Arabidopsis thaliana: one gene and its partners. The protein of the gene in region 2 purifies or fractionates together with the protein of the main gene of each other region. This does not show direct contact. Each region holds a gene or a part of one and is shown on either strand. Other genes may lie near its edges.

The links.
Region 1: the proteins of ALDH2B4 (region 2) and MTHFR1 fractionate together in Arabidopsis thaliana (co-fractionation; one large-scale study listed by BioGRID). This does not show direct contact.
Region 3: the proteins of ALDH2B4 (region 2) and MTHFR2 fractionate together in Arabidopsis thaliana (co-fractionation; one large-scale study listed by BioGRID). This does not show direct contact.

Annotation. Positions count from the first base shown.
Region 1 is NC_003074.8:22,149,185-22,154,983, forward strand, and holds MTHFR1 (methylenetetrahydrofolate reductase 1), read left to right. Parts: upstream 1-1,979; 5' UTR 1,980-2,118; coding exon 2,119-2,581; intron 2,582-2,673; coding exon 2,674-2,756; intron 2,757-2,850; coding exon 2,851-3,024; exon of another isoform or gene 3,025-3,245; coding exon 3,246-3,419; intron 3,420-3,519; coding exon 3,520-3,620; intron 3,621-3,726; coding exon 3,727-3,838; intron 3,839-4,069; coding exon 4,070-4,150; coding exon of another isoform or gene 4,151-4,228; exon of another isoform or gene 4,229-4,245; coding exon 4,246-4,423; intron 4,424-4,634; coding exon 4,635-4,969; intron 4,970-5,059; exon of another isoform or gene 5,060-5,061; coding exon 5,062-5,139; 3' UTR 5,140-5,299; downstream 5,300-5,799. Other genes in the region: histone-lysine N-methyltransferase ASHH4, read left to right, coding at 28-199, 295-375, 456-606, 689-716, 795-885, 993-1,029; AT3G59980 (Nucleic acid-binding, OB-fold-like protein), read right to left, coding at 5,344-5,487, 5,578-5,784. UniProt on the Arabidopsis thaliana protein: The probable reversibility of the MTHFR reaction in plants suggests that they can metabolize the methyl group of 5,10-methylenetetrahydrofolate to serine, sugars and starch.
Region 2 is NC_003074.8:17,716,287-17,721,882, forward strand, and holds ALDH2B4 (aldehyde dehydrogenase 2B4), read right to left. Parts: upstream 3,884-5,596; 5' UTR 3,558-3,883; coding exon 3,482-3,557; intron 3,267-3,481; coding exon 3,129-3,266; intron 3,031-3,128; coding exon 2,888-3,030; intron 2,797-2,887; coding exon 2,643-2,796; intron 2,551-2,642; coding exon 2,321-2,550; intron 2,230-2,320; coding exon 2,140-2,229; intron 2,066-2,139; coding exon 1,892-2,065; intron 1,800-1,891; coding exon 1,662-1,799; intron 1,563-1,661; coding exon 1,425-1,562; intron 1,335-1,424; coding exon 1,273-1,334; intron 1,070-1,272; coding exon 796-1,069; 3' UTR 578-795; downstream 1-577. Other genes in the region: CNGC16 (cyclic nucleotide-gated channel 16), read right to left, coding at 5,049-5,409, 5,499-5,596. UniProt on the Arabidopsis thaliana protein: Possesses activity on acetaldehyde and glycolaldehyde in vitro.
Region 3 is NC_003071.7:18,260,583-18,265,887, forward strand, and holds MTHFR2 (methylenetetrahydrofolate reductase 2), read left to right. Parts: upstream 1-1,606; 5' UTR 1,607-1,718; coding exon 1,719-2,181; intron 2,182-2,266; coding exon 2,267-2,349; intron 2,350-2,428; coding exon 2,429-2,602; intron 2,603-2,909; coding exon 2,910-3,083; intron 3,084-3,162; coding exon 3,163-3,263; intron 3,264-3,360; coding exon 3,361-3,472; intron 3,473-3,637; coding exon 3,638-3,718; intron 3,719-3,815; coding exon 3,816-3,993; intron 3,994-4,086; coding exon 4,087-4,421; intron 4,422-4,519; coding exon 4,520-4,603; 3' UTR 4,604-4,764; downstream 4,765-5,305. Other genes in the region: histone-lysine N-methyltransferase ASHH3, read left to right, coding at 32-122, 211-259, 356-421.

The DNA of each region.
Region 1 (5,799 bases), 4.4 Mb from region 2:
TCTTCTTATATCCATTTCTTATTGTAGTTATTGACGACAAGATTTGTGAAGAAAGGCTTTGGAAGCTGAATCATAAGGTCGAGACAAATTTCTATTTGTGTCAGATAAACTGGAACATGGTGATTGATGCTACTCACAAGGGTAATAAATCAAGATACATCAATCACAGCTGCAGTCCTAACACAGAGATGCAGAAATGGTTCGTTTGTAACTTATTATCCATCTTCTCACTTTTCTTCTGTTCAAAACAATTGAGCAAAGTTATAGATCATGAACCTTTTTGTTCCCATTTAGGATAATTGATGGCGAGACAAGAATCGGCATTTTTGCTACCCGTTTCATAAACAAAGGCGAGCAGTTGACTTACGATTACCAGTAAGAACATTTCCTTGCATCACAACAATAAAGTATTTGAATGTAAATGTTTAGTTGTGTGATACTAATAAATATAGCAGGTTTGTTCAGTTTGGTGCAGATCAAGATTGCTACTGTGGTGCAGTGTGTTGCAGAAAAAAGCTAGGTGCAAAACCTTGCAAAACTAAGAACACAACCTTAGAAGAAGCTGTGAAGCCAGTGGCATGTAAAGTGACCTGGAAAACGCCCAAGGTAAATTTGAGCTTTGCCTTACTTTTTTTTAGTCATCCTGTGATTGCTAAACAGTAACTTGTCCTTTCAAACATATGGTTAGGGAAAAACTCGAGGGAGACGCATTGCTGGTTAGTATTAATTATTTGGCTCGATTATCGACAAGCTTCTCAATTCAGAGGTAAGAGAAACCAATTTGGATGCGTCAGGACAAGCTTGGAACAATCATAGCCAGAGGAAAATATGTTGCCGGGACTGCATTGGTGCGGTGATCTGGTTAGCACGTCCCATGAACCAAAAGTATAACTATCTTTCTTTTTTTCTCAAAAACCAATTTCTTCCACACCAAAGAACAGTATTACACGGCTCAGATGAAGGTTTTGACTCTAGTAGTTGACATTTTTCAGGTGTTTTGGAATCATTACACAATATGATGAGTTTTAAATAAGCACTTGGTATCTATTCATTTGACTTATTGCCAACACTGTTGTTCACATTCTATCTCAGTTTACGAAATCTAAAGAATGAACATTGACTTTGTCCAGGTCATGTATGAGGATGGTGTTACCGAGATCATCGACATGTGCAGAGAAGTTTGGAAGGTTGTAACTGCTTGATATTGTGACTGTTCCAAGTCTGATTTCATTCCCTTACATAGGATTACACTTGAATTGTCAAGAAATTTTGTAACCAACCAAACCGTGTCGGTTGGCAAATAGGTTTAGACTTTGTTGTTGTATGTATCCAACTTGAATCAGTAGTTCAGTAGTACATTACACTGTATGTGGAATCTTTGGACCAAATAAAGAAAAGTGTTTTTGGATTTTAAACCGGGGTTTTGGTTATTTAAGAGACAAAAAATCTCATACCCGGTTTGCTCTGTCTATAACTCGAGTTTGTTAAGCACGTGATTCTCCTTGGCAATGCTGCTATATCACTAGCCTACTGTCCGTTGTAGCGGATGATACCCACGCGCCGGTGACCGACAGTGGATTTGCCGTTACCGGTGGTAGGTAATGTGGGGTCGTAGCTCACCTACCTAACTAAATTTTCTTTTTCTTATGTTTAGTTGGAAAATAAGAAAAATATAAAAACTAGTTTTTTGTAAAGGAAAAGGATAAAATTACTATTATGGAAAAGATAAATTCCAAAAGTGAGGAAATATGTATTTAGCACAATAAAAAGTGATAGCAATGTGAGAAAAAAAACGTGATAACAGAAATGCTGTGCTAAATTTGGATTTCTTTGTTGAAAATATATTTACATTGATAAATATTATGTAATTAGAAAAAGGAAAATTCAAAATAGATGTGTAGAAAAACAACAATGTTGATAATATAATTTTTTATCTAAAGTTTTTACCGGTTACCAGTTACCACCAAAGTTGTTGGATCTCTATCTTCATTTTTAGAGATTAGTATAAATGAGTGAGTAAACAAACCAGAGAGACCAAACTTGCCTCTCCACCACCACTTCCTCTACCTATCTAATTCCGAATCTGGATTTGGATTTGGATCTCATTTCGATTCAACGATGAAGGTGGTTGATAAGATCAAATCCGTGACGGAGCAAGGCCAAACAGCTTTCTCCTTCGAGTTTTTCCCACCGAAGACAGAAGATGGCGTCGAGAATCTCTTTGAACGAATGGATCGATTGGTCTCTTATGGACCTACCTTCTGCGATATCACTTGGGGTGCTGGTGGATCCACAGCTGATCTCACTCTCGAGATTGCTTCTAGGATGCAGAATGTTATCTGCGTCGAGACTATGATGCATCTCACTTGTACCAACATGCCGATTGAGAAGATTGATCACGCGCTTGAGACGATTAGATCTAATGGAATTCAGAATGTGCTTGCTCTTAGAGGAGATCCTCCTCATGGACAAGATAAGTTTGTTCAGGTTGAAGGAGGATTTGCTTGTGCTTTGGATCTGGTGAATCACATTCGTAGCAAGTATGGTGATTACTTTGGAATCACTGTTGCTGGTTATCCTGGTAATCAAAATGCTCCCTTTTAATCAATTTCATTGTTGGTTTCGTTGTTGTGATTTTGATCTCTAATTGGGGATTTGTGTGTTATGAATCAGAGGCTCATCCGGATGTTATTGAAGCTGATGGACTTGCTACTCCTGAATCTTATCAGAGTGATCTTGCTTACTTGAAGAAAAAGGTTCAGATTTGTGTCTTGGTTTTGAATTTTGTGTGTTGAATTGTTTGTGTTGTCTTGATTTGATGGGTTTAGTGGATTGTGGCTTGTGGTACAGGTTGATGCTGGAGCAGATTTGATTGTGACTCAGCTTTTCTATGATACTGATATATTCCTCAAGTTTGTGAATGATTGTCGGCAAATCGGGATTAATTGTCCCATTGTTCCTGGAATTATGCCTATTTCCAACTACAAGGGGTTCTTGCGTATGGCTGGTTTCTGTAAGACCAAGGTATGTTGTGATCTCTTTCATCTGTGTGATGATATGGCTTGCTCTGTAGACACATGTCGTCTTTGTGCTTAAAGGCTTTAAGATGAGATTGAGTTTACTGCATCTATCTAGTTGCTTGGTGATATATATATAGACCCTTGGTGATGATGCCTTATGACTAATGTGTTCAGATATCATTTTTCTTTGATTTATATTCCACTCATGATTCTATTATTGCATAGATACCCGCTGAGCTCACTGCTGCCTTAGAGCCTATTAAGGATAATGACGAGGCTGTTAAAGCCTATGGAATTCACTTTGCAACAGAAATGTGCAAAAAGATTTTGGCCCATGGAATCACTTCCCTTCATCTCTACACATTGAACGTGGACAAATCAGCTATTGGGATATTAATGGTTTTCTTCTCATTTCCTTCTAAATTGGTTTCTGTGTAGTAATATTTAACACATGGTATTGTGTATACCGGAGAACCTAACAGTGGTGCTCAAATTGCAGAACCTTGGTCTGATTGATGAGTCAAAAATTTCTCGTTCTCTACCTTGGAGACGCCCTGCAAATGTTTTCCGTACTAAGGAAGATGTTCGCCCAATTTTCTGGTAACCTGCATTTTGTTTCTCTTGCTCGGAGTATTATTACAGATCTTTAACTTTAAGATATATTTGCGGAGGAATAATACTGTTACTTCATTTTTTATCTTTGCAGGGCAAACCGTCCAAAGAGCTACATATCTAGAACAAAGGGCTGGAATGACTTCCCACATGGACGTTGGGGTGATTCACACAGTGCAGCATACAGTACACTTTCGGATTATCAGGTACGTACCACATATTTATCAGTTTTCTGACATATCGACTTTATATTTTGAAAACTTGAATTCTGAAAGGCTTGTTTTCAGTTTGCCTTCTCAATTTGCTTAAATTGTATTTGCATATTGTTATTTAGCCCTACCATTATCACTTGTAAGAAGCTGCTTGCTTTGCTTGCCATCTCTTCTGCGTTTTTCATTGCCAATGAGTAGTGCTGATATAAATGCATGTGTTGATAGTTTGCGCGCCCAAAAGGACGTGACAAGAAGCTTCAGCAAGAATGGGTCGTCCCACTGAAAAGCATTGAAGATGTTCAAGAGGTAGGCTTTACTTTACGGACACTCGTACAAATTGTTTCGATCTCTTTCCCTCATACTCACTTGCACATTTTCATGTAAAAACTGTCACAAATCAGAAATTCAAAGAGCTCTGCATTGGAAACTTAAAAAGCAGCCCATGGTCTGAATTAGATGGACTCCAGCCAGAGACAAAGATCATAAATGAGCAACTCGGAAAAATCAACTCCAACGGTTTCCTGACCATTAATAGCCAACCATCAGTCAATGCAGCCAAATCCGATTCTCCAGCTATTGGTAAGAAAACTCAAACTTGTGATCACAAAGCATACCATAACGTTCCAAAAAAAAAAATCTTATTTGACTTGTGATTCATCTGTCATTTCTTAAAAACCTATTTAAACCCTCTAGAGCTTCTGTCTTAGCTTATAACATAATGTTTAAATTGCATTGGGAATATCTACTTGGCTTATAACAAAAATGTATAATTGCAATTGATACTTTGCAGGATGGGGTGGTCCTGGTGGTTACGTCTACCAGAAAGCTTATCTGGAGTTCTTCTGTTCAAAGGATAAGTTAGACACACTTGTGGAGAAATCCAAAGCTTTTCCTTCTATCACCTACATGGCCGTGAACAAATCAGAGAATTGGGTATCAAACACCGGTGAGTCCGATGTGAATGCAGTTACTTGGGGAGTGTTCCCAGCTAAGGAGGTTATTCAACCGACGATCGTGGATCCAGCCAGTTTCAAAGTCTGGAAAGACGAAGCGTTTGAGATTTGGTCAAGAAGCTGGGCTAACTTGTACCCAGAAGATGACCCTTCTAGAAAGTTGCTCGAGGAGGTAAAGAATCTTCTTCTTTTTTCTTCTCTTCTTTTCAGTGACCAGATTGGTTTAGCTGTAATGATGATGGTATGATCCAATCGAATATGCAGGTGAAGAACAGCTACTATTTGGTAAGCTTAGTGGACAACAATTACATCAATGGTGATATCTTCTCTGTCTTTGCTTGATCTCCGAGAAAACCACCGGCGAAGAGGAAACATTCGATTTCGAGATTTGTTTTGTACCTTTTAAAGTTATTTTTGATTCGTAATAACCTTACTTTGATGAATCAACAAAAACATCAGTTTGATTGCAATGAAAAAAATCGCCTTAGCGGTTTGTTCTTTCTCTCTTGTGTCAAAACAACATCACAAAATAGCTTTTAACAGAAATCAAGAAATGTTGGCATTTCTTAAAGACTTGGAAGTAACAAGACCAGAAGATGTCCGCATCAAATGCTCCTTAAGCATTGAAACACCAGACGCATCTGTCTTCAAAAGTGGTTGCACCAATTCCCACATCTTCTTCTTTTGAACCTGAAACAACAAAGAAAACACAGAACTTGAATATGCCATGACTTAAGTCTTGCAGTACTGAAATGATTAGTGCTTTGCAGGCTAAATGACCTTATTAGGAGGTGCAGGTTCAGGAAGCTGCTCGAGATCTTCTTCGTTACCAAACCAAACTCTATCTCCAGGAACAGAGCCTTCTGGTGGAACAAGAAGCTCAACATTTTCATGAGCTGCGTCAGATGCAGCTAAAAGCATACCACATGACTTAACCCCTCTCATATTCCTCGGCTTCAGATTAGCCAGCACCACCACTGATGCACCCTGCACAGAACCAAA
Region 2 (5,596 bases):
GGTCACTTCTGATGCGTTCAACATTTTTCAGTCATGTTAAAAATATTATTTAAATAGAAAACTTGTATCGAAATTTATTAAGAAATATAATAAATATTCAAAATTAGTATAATTTTTTGTCTGTTACAAAAGGAAAAATATATTTATCTGATAAACCTTTTAATAAAAAGTATTTTTTTCATACTTGTGATCAATTTTATGTTGATATTTTATTCTAAGAATATACTGTATATGAATTTAATAATTAACAACTACTTCCTTTGTTTCATATTAGTTTAAGGTTTTTATACACATATTAAAAAAATCATGAAAGTCTCATTTAATCTACCTCTTTTATATAAAAATATTATTAATTAAATATAATTGATTAAAATATTAAATATTTATTATTTGTATAGAAAGTTGAAAACAACACTTATTTTGAAAAAAATAAAAACTCTTAAACTACATTTATATAGAAACAGAGTATATATTTAAACAACTGAAAAGTTTTTAATTAATTATTGAGTTTTAACTCTTAATTACTTTAAGATATATATTTTCTAATTTTCGTTGCATTTTTCAGTTTCATGTTTGTTTTCAGTTTCAATAGAAATCTTGCAAAACCAAAATGAACACACAAGTCTCAGTGTAACAACAGCTATGTGATGAATAAACAACAATGAAAAATTTATTAGAAGTATCACAATCCGTTACTCAAATTACAAACCATGACCTTAATTATTACTATTGTAACTTTATAGAGTCTATTTCTTTTGTTTGAGCATTTATGATGCTGAAACCACACTCCAGAGATCAGATCCAGGCAGGCTTATTTAGAGCAGTGACGACTGCCTTGATCTGCAAGTAATTATTGAGACTGTATATGCCTTTCTCTCTCCCATTCCCACTCATCTTGTAACCACCAAATGGTATGGCTGCATCAAATACGTCGAAGCAGTTAACCCATACGGTACCAGCTTTCAAAGCCCTTGAAACCCTGTTTGCCGTGTCCAGATTCTTCGTGAAAACCCCTGCCGCTAGCCCGTACTTCGTCTCGTTCGCCCTCTTTATCACCTCATCCACATCACTGAACCCAACATCATAACCAGTGTTAAACCAAATCTATCATGGTTTCTGTTTTTTAATTGAATACATTTATCTTTAAAAAAAGTTTAGGTTTGGTTGGTTCGAAATTAGTTTCAGTTTACCAAATCTCTAACAACTCAGCCATTTTTACCAAATTGTGACTTATTTGTCTACTGGATCAGTTTTATTGGTAGCTCTATATACCTGAACTTCAAGATCGATTGGACTGGACCGAAAATCTCGTCTTGAGCGATAAGCATGTCATCCTGTAGTTGAACCAAGCGTTCGAGATTAATGCCATGGAGAATCGGTAATAGAAGAACATTAAAGATGTCTTAGAAGAGTTTTCTTTTTACCTTAACATTAGAGAAGACAGTAGGTTGGATGAAGTAACCTTTGTCTCCAATCTGATCACCACCACATTCAAGAGTAGCATTGCTTTCGATACCTGACTTTATGTACTTCATCACTTTCTCAAATTGCTTCAAATCGATCTATACAAAGTTTTTGTGAAAACGGAAATCACAAAACCAATCAACAAAGTAGAAAAGCTAAACTCTTCTTAATGGAAGGAAGGAATGTGTATGTGTTACCTGAGGACCCTGTTCAATGCCTTTCCTGAAAGGATCACCAACAACACGTTTCAATGCGCGTGCCTTTGATTTCTCAACAAACTCATCATACACTTTCTCATGAACAAATGTCCGAGACCCCGCGCAGCAACATTGCCCCTACAAAAACATTACTCAACATTATCTCAAGAACTAGCTAGGAAAATGAGTCAGCTTAGCTCAAGGTGAATATATTCTACTATTGACAAAACCTGGTTGAAGAAGAGGGCAAAGTGTGCAAGCTCTACAGCTTTATCAATATCAGCATCTTCGAATACGATGAACGGTGATTTCCCTCCAAGTTCCAGAGTTACGGGCTTAAGATTGCTGTTAGCAGCCAATCCAAGTATAACTTTCCCCGTATCAGTCGATCCTGTAAAAGCAAGCTGAAGCAAAAAGAAGAATGTAAGATAATTTAGTTTCTTAAAGAAGTTAGCAGCAAGTAAATAAATATATCTACCTTGTCTACATCCATATGACTCGCGAGGGCAGCACCTGCTGTTGCACCGAATCCCGAAACAATATTCAGAACACCAGGAGGAAGACCCGCCTATCATAAATTTCACAAGAAACATTGTTACTCATCAAAGTTTTTCTTTTCCTAGAGAAGACAATAGGAGAATCTATCGGATGTATCTTACTTCAAGGAAAAGCTTTCCAGCATAGAAAGCCGTGAGAGGTGTTTGCTCAGCGGTTTTGAGGACAATGGTGTTACCACAAGCAAGAGCAGGACCAACTTTCCAAGCAAACATCAAAAGTGGAAAATTCCACGGTATGATCTGTCCAGCTACACCTATCGGTTCATGTAATGTGTGAACTTGATAGTTTCCATCAGCTGGAATTGTTAGTCCATGAATCTTATCCGCCCATCCTACACATCAAAGCAAAACCAAGAATGTTCATTCACAGAAAGTAACACCAAAAGCACCAGAATTCTCAAGATTTAAGTTCGTTTTATGATACCAGCATAGTAACGGAACAATCTTGCAAACATGGGAATCTCTGCGGTCAAGGATTGTTGGTAAGGCTTGCCATTGTCCCATGTCTCTAGAGACGCGAGCTCTTCGCTGTGTTTCTCAACCAAATCTGCAAACCTCAACAAAACTCTTGACCTTTCCTGAAACCCAAAACAATAACCATATGTGACCATCCATATCACATTAAAGTTCATAAAACTGAAGACTCAAGAAGAGTAGTAATATACATACATAAGCACTCATTTTAGGCCAAGGTCCTTCATCAAAGGCCGTCCTTGCAGCTTTCACAGCTCGATTGATATCTTCAGCATCGCCTTCAGCTACATGAGCAATGACTTCGCCTGTCCTCGGATCAAGAGTCGGAAACGTCTTACCTAAATCCCCAAATCCAAATATCAATACTCAAAAAACTTTGCTTTTTTCTACCAATTCCTCTACGTGGGAGACAAATAAAAATGAAAACTTTAATCACCAGAAGCAGAGTCAACAAAGTTCCCATTGATGAGGAGCTGTGTGTGAGAAACTTGAACAGATGGGTTTATGATTTCCTCAGCAGCAGCAGAAGAGGTTCCAAATCTCCTTAAGATCCCTCCATTGTAACAATTTCTCCCTGAAAATTATCATCTTTACACATCACAACCTAGATTCGACATAGACCCACAAATCAAAGAATCTAACTTTCAGTCTATTTCATTGGACATAACGTTAATTTTGTAGAATTCAGCATAAGTTTAGTGATAAAGTAGAAACATGGAGATACAGTGGAAAATTCACTGATTCAGCAGAGAGATCGAACAGTGGTTTGTTTGTTTGTGTGTGAGATACCTTGAGAACGAAACAGTAAGGGAGAGGAAGCTGAAAAAGATCGAGATAAAAGAGAAGACACTCTACGAGCCGCCATGGATGAAACAAGTTTCAAGCTTTAAGCTTCAAAACGTCAAAGTTCTTATCTTTTATTCTTCGAATTCTCCTCCTCTTCTCTCTCTCTCTCTGTTTGATGGGATTTATAATTTGATTTGAAGGAGAAAGAATCCAACGGTTGAGATCTCCGGATATCTCTAACACATGTCGCTTAACTTACACTCTCTTGGTTTGTGTTGCCGTACTTTGAATGGCTCTATTTGACTAGACTGATTTGTCCGTTTCCTAATATCAAAGACAAAAGAAGCGATTTTTATTGCATAAGAGAAAAAAGAAATGTTTTTCTTTTTCCCTCTTAGAAAAATGAGATTCGGGAAAAAATAATTAAAATAAATTAGTAAGACAACAAACAACGTTGACAAATAAAAAACTAAAAGATAAGACAAAAAGTTGTCTTGCCGTGATCTCTGATTTTTTGGTATGTGTATCCATATGATTCAGACTCAATATGTTTTTTCTTTTTTCTTTCATATTAGATTTAGATCCAACTACAAATTAAAATTAATTAATTGTGGATATCATTTTTTGTGGCAATGTGGAAAAATTATAATGAAAATAAAGGAAATATCTATATAAATGCAAAAGTTGCTAGTTATGGTGTGAAGTCGTTTTCTAAGCGGTAGTTGTGTCATCTATTTGGTATGTTTTTCATCTTTTCTTGTAAATATAGGTTACTTTGCGGATTGTGATGTTTGTCCCTTGAAATCTTTCGACAAATAAAGAAAAAAAATCATCTGCTATTAATAAGAAGATTTAATTCGTACCATTTGAATACAATGAGAAAATTCTACTGCTCCAAAAGGTTACTAATCAAGAAAATGATTAAAGTTGAGAAAAAGGTGGTTTTTTTCTATGTGCTTTTTACAATATTATTTTCAGATTTCATTCTATATTCACATATTCATCTTTAAAATTAAATTATGGCATAAATGACAAATATATGGTTTTTGACACGATTGCGAGATTTAATCAGTTTATATATTAAAAATATCAAGCAATAAACTGAAAGGGATTACATATTTTTTTTGGTTTGCACAAAATCATGTAGACGAAGAAAAATACAAGTTGAAGTGTGTAATCAAAAATCATTTTCGTCCAATCAAATAGTGGAATGAGTCTATGACTATATCCTTTATTTTTCTTTTATAAGTGTCATTCTCATTATTTTTGACCAAAATATGGTCATTGCCCAAATTCAATTTATAATTAATTAATTTTTTAATTCACCTAAATTATGTGAAAACATAATTAGACTTAAACACAAGGTGTTTTATGAGTTTCAAAGCCCACTTTGTGTACCAATAAATGCTGTAGGAGCCAAGAGTGCGTTGGATAGAAATCGACATAATATCGACCGACGTCAAGTCACAATTACTTCAATCTGTAATAATGTTTCTTTGTATACCTGACTATTGGTTACAGCAAATCAAGTTAGTGTCAGAAATCCTAAATGCATTTGTCACAACAACTATCAGAAGAATCCTGGATCCTCTGGTTTAAACATTTTAGGCATCTTCAAAGTTGGATGATCAGGATCAATTCTTGTAGATCCTCTTTGGTTCCCTAAAACACCTCTCTTAGTATTAGCTGCGAACTTAGACGCTAATATTGTTGCACTCAAATTTTGATTATTGCTGCTGTTTTCGTCTCCGTTGTTATTATTACTTTCAGGCATGTCCTCTTCGAATTGATAGTCTCCATCATCGTCATAGAAGTAATCGTCTTCTTCCTCTTGCCTAGCTAACTCCATTGCTAATTTCCTCTTCATGTATCGCCTCCAAGCAGCTTGTATAAAACAAGTTCCCCATGCTCTCCATTGATGCGAATAGTATCTGGTTACAGTCAAAACATAAAGATCAAGAAACCTTATAGCGTGTGAAGCAAGAAACCTATATTGCTTATGAGACCATACGAGGATTACCTGAAAGCATGTTGGAGTTTCTTGCTGTGAAGACGTCTGAATTGGTTAGCTACGAATTTCAAGTCCTCTGCTCGGAGAGCGAAAGCTTCTACTTCGGA
Region 3 (5,305 bases), on a different chromosome or scaffold from region 2:
GAAAGTAATTTGGATTCCCATGTTTCTCCAGGAAAATCATGGAACAATCTTAGTCAAAGGGATACATGTTCGCGTAATTGCATTGGTGTGGTGATCAGGTTATCTCGCCCCACGAGTGATAGGTATTTATTGAGTTTTGAACTCGTGGATTAGTTTTATGACTCATTCTATGCTTTTCTCATCCAATGTTTTATCTTTTGAGATTTTCAGGTGTTTTGGCCTCGTTAGACATTTTGATGAGTATTCAAGAAAGCACTCGGTATTACAATTAGCCAATACTTGTTCCTCACCATCGAACTTGGCAAAATCATTCTCAATTAAGACCTCTCTGTTAACATCTTTAAACTTGGTCCAGGTGATGTTCGAGGATGGTGTTACCGAGTTTGTCGACATGTCGAGAGAAGACTGGGAGATTGTCTAATATTGTTTTCAGGTGATTTATACTCTTCACTCTCTTAATGAAACATTAAAACTCCCAGAAGCATAGAGTATTAAATTACCCTGGCTGCTATGTTTCTGCAGATTGCTTTGAAGTTGAGAAACCAAAATAACCTGTCTTGGTAAACTAAAGGTATCCCAAAAAACCCGGGTCTGACTGACTGGGATTGGTGCAGTGACATTGTTTGTTGCGTCTAACTTGTGACCTGTGTTTGTACAACCATTATAAGAGATATCATATATCTACTTGTGTAACCACATCTGTACTTTCTTCTCCTTCCTTCTTTTTTCATGGGGATCTCAAATGATGATGTCTTGCAAGAACCTTCGTGGTGTGTAATTGACTTTGTAAGAACCGGTAATCTCATATCCGGTTTAGCTTTTAAAAATTTGTATCCAAAGACCGGTTTGTTCTTGTTTGCATGTGCTGTTCTTATTCGTGCATCTGTGTGAGTGTGACTGTGTCGGTGTCGCCGACAAAAGCCGGTGTTTGCAAAATCTGACCAGTTTTGTTTTAGCGATTAACGTTTCAAATTCCTTCAAATGCAAAATGAGTTAAACAAGTGAAAAATTACTAAAACAACATAACAGTTTTAAATTGGAAAAAGTTTTGTAAAGTTTAAAGATACACTGTAAGTGAAAAACGGAAAATTTTAATTAGATTTTTTTTTTTTTTTTTTTTTTTTGGTAAAAGTAGATTATTTTTGTTAAACAAAAGTGATGGATCATTGGTTTTTTGGTAGTAGGTGGGTGATGTGGGTGTGTGGTTCTGGTTCACCAACTCAAAAAGCATAGACTGCAGGGGTTGGGGATTGATAACGACAAATCTAATTGTGGTTGGTAAATCTTTTACTAATCACATTCCTTTAAAATAATTATGTAACTCATCTTGTTTACTAATATCAACTCGACTATCTTAATATCAAATAACTCGGATTCTTCATTTTTTTCACTTTAGAATGGTTTGGTAAATCTCTTGAATAATAAACACTTTAATAAAAATGTTTTTTTTTGTCAAGCATAAAAATGTAACTCATGTTGTCTAACTACATGGATTTTCGCACAAAACAATGATTAAATGTAAATTATGTAATTATACTTTATTTAAAGTATGATTTTGTCTTAAAAATGAAAATAATATAAGGAAGTGGACGGGTAAGGTAAAGTCTAAAATTCACCAAACATTTTGGAATCTCTCTGTTTACTATAAAGCAGTGAGTAGAAGAACCTGAAAGAACTCGCCTTTGTCTCTCATTCTTCTTCTCCATTTCGAAAAGAAGATGAAGGTGATAGATAAGATCCAGTCATTAGCCGACGAAGGCAAAACAGCGTTTTCCTTCGAATTCTTCCCACCAAAGACAGAAGATGGAGTCGACAATCTCTTTGAGAGAATGGATCGAATGGTTGCTTATGGTCCAACGTTTTGCGATATCACTTGGGGAGCTGGTGGATCTACCGCAGATCTAACGCTTGATATAGCTTCGAGGATGCAAAACGTTGTTTGTGTTGAGAGTATGATGCATCTTACGTGTACTAACATGCCTGTTGAGAAGATTGATCATGCTCTTGAGACTATTAGATCTAATGGGATTCAGAATGTGCTTGCTCTTAGAGGTGATCCTCCTCATGGTCAAGATAAGTTTGTTCAGGTTGAAGGTGGTTTTGATTGTGCTTTGGATCTTGTTAATCACATTCGTAGCAAGTATGGTGATTACTTTGGTATCACTGTCGCTGGTTATCCTGGTAATGTCTCGAATTCGAATTTGATTTCTTTGTTTCGTGTGATTTGTAGCTAAAGATTGGATTTTTATGTGTTTTGATATTTCAGAGGCGCATCCTGATGTTATTGGTGAGAATGGTCTTGCGTCTAATGAAGCTTATCAGAGTGATCTTGAGTATCTGAAGAAAAAGGTTTGTTTTGTTTGTTTTTGTTTTGCTTTGTTCTTAAATGTCTGCATCAATTTTTGAATTTGGGTTTGTCTTGGAACAGATTGATGCTGGAGCTGATCTGATTGTTACTCAGCTTTTCTATGATACTGATATATTCCTCAAGTTTGTGAATGATTGTCGGCAAATTGGGATTAGTTGTCCCATTGTTCCTGGAATTATGCCTATTAATAACTACAGAGGCTTTTTGCGTATGACTGGTTTCTGCAAGACTAAGGTAAGTTTTGATCGTTTAGTAAACACCAGTTCCTGCAAATGAATCACCTTTTAGGAGATGAATGATATTGCTTGTTGCCTTTCCATAAAGGTGTTTGTTTGCTAGCTTAGGATATGTTTTTAAAAAAGTGTATTTAAGGTTTCGTGATCAGCTAGATGAAATTGAGATACTTGATTATATTATTGTTTTCAGAGAAAGTGTTTGTTGGATAGCTATTCAAAGAGAATTCTTTATATTAATGTAGATACCAGCTGTGCTTTTTGTGAAAAAAAGATAGATGAATTTACATATGATTATATTAATGTAGATACCAGTTGAGGTGATGGCTGCCTTGGAGCCTATCAAGGATAACGAAGAAGCTGTGAAAGCCTATGGTATTCACCTTGGAACAGAGATGTGTAAAAAGATGTTGGCTCATGGAGTCAAGTCTCTTCATCTCTACACATTGAACATGGAGAAATCTGCTCTTGCAATATTGATGGTTGGTCCTCACTTTTTCTACTTGATGTAAAGCATGATACTGATAGTGGAGTAGCTTTACTATTTTGTTGTTGTTTCAGAATCTTGGTATGATTGATGAGTCCAAAATTTCTCGTTCTTTACCCTGGAGACGCCCTGCAAATGTTTTCCGTACTAAGGAAGATGTGCGCCCCATTTTCTGGTAACAGAGCTTAGTTTCTCTCGTTCTGATTATACTTAGCCACATATTTTACTCTGCAGGGAAAATAAGACTTGTTCTTTCTTCTAATCTTTTGAAGGGCAAACCGTCCAAAGAGCTACATTTCTAGAACCAAGGGCTGGGAAGATTTCCCACAAGGCCGGTGGGGTGATTCACGCAGTGCTTCATATGGTGCACTCTCGGATCATCAGGTACTACAATACATCATCTGTAATTGCACAACTCTCTTTCAAGATTTCATAACAAAGGGGTTTTGAAGGGTATTTCTTCGATTGGTCTTTTTGATTTGCTCTAGATTGTTAAATGTAACATCTTCTTGTGAGCTTGTTTGCTGAACTAAATGCTTTTGTTGTCAGTTCTCACGTCCGCGAGCACGTGACAAGAAGCTTCAACAAGAATGGGTTGTCCCACTGAAAAGTGTTGAAGATATTCAGGAGGTAGAACAATTTTTTCACTACCACACATTTCCCTCACTTTCACCTGTAAAGATGCAGACGCTTACAATAATCTTGCAAAAAAACTGTCACATAACAGAAATTCAAGGAGCTCTGCCTTGGAAACCTTAAAAGCAGTCCCTGGTCTGAATTAGATGGACTCCAGCCAGAGACAAGGATAATAAACGAGCAACTGATAAAAGTCAACTCCAAAGGCTTCTTGACCATCAATAGCCAACCATCAGTCAACGCCGAGAGATCTGATTCCCCAACTGTTGGTGAGGAATCAGTCCTGTTATATCTCTGTTCTCATAGCAAACAGAGTTTTGATTCGTGATTGATCGATACTTGTGCTTGTGTATGATTTGCAGGATGGGGAGGTCCTGTTGGATATGTATACCAAAAGGCTTATCTAGAGTTCTTCTGCTCAAAGGAGAAATTAGATGCAGTGGTGGAGAAATGCAAAGCTTTGCCATCGATTACTTACATGGCTGTGAACAAAGGAGAACAGTGGGTATCGAACACTGCCCAAGCTGATGTGAATGCTGTAACTTGGGGAGTTTTCCCGGCTAAGGAAATCATTCAACCAACCATTGTCGATCCCGCTAGCTTCAACGTCTGGAAGGATGAAGCATTTGAGACTTGGTCAAGAAGCTGGGCTAACTTGTACCCAGAAGCCGACCCTTCCAGAAACTTGCTCGAGGAGGTAAGTTCTATATTTTTCTTGATCTGATCATATTTGTTATTGTTTTTGACAATGGTTTATTTAAAATGACTAATGGACATTTTGATCCAAAAATGCAGGTGAAGAACAGCTACTATTTGGTAAGCTTGGTGGAGAACGATTACATCAATGGTGACATATTCGCGGTGTTTGCTGATCTTTGAGAAAATCAAGAGACAACTACAGTATATCGGTTTCCTACTGCTTTCAAGATTTGCTTTTGTACTTTCTCTAAAATATTGGGATTTTGTTTTTTACATCTGTCTACCATAACAGTATTGATGTGCAAGTAATGTTATTGATAAAAAGGCATCAGTTTCACTACCTTAAAGATCCAAAACCAAACAATTCTTCGGCAAATTTTGTTTGTGTTGATAGTTCAGAGGAAAACTACAAAAAGACACGCAAAAAGATAAAAAGGCTTTAAACTTTTGTTTATAATACTTGCAAATGATATCCAGGAAGAGGAATCTTAGGCTACACATTGGTTTAATGATCATAGTTTGTTCACATTGGGGAGCGGGAACAGTGGTTTTAACAAAACTAAAGAATAAGCCCAAGTTCTGATGGCTTCAATGCATTTCTCAAACGGTAATTGTAGAGATAGTAGTGCGACTGTCGACATAGTGGATAAAACCTCAACTCTTTCAAGAAACTCTCATTCTGCATCACATCCGAGGCATAAAACACATCGAAACCTTTTTGCTTAGAGACTATTAGGGCATCATTCACCAGCTGGGATAACGAGGTCAGTGTCGCTACATTGCAGCAAGCATAAGCACATTCCAGGGTCGTGTATTTCCGGTTACCGGGGATAGTTATAGAGGAATTGCAGAAGCTGCAGAAGTCAGTGACATCATGAGTTT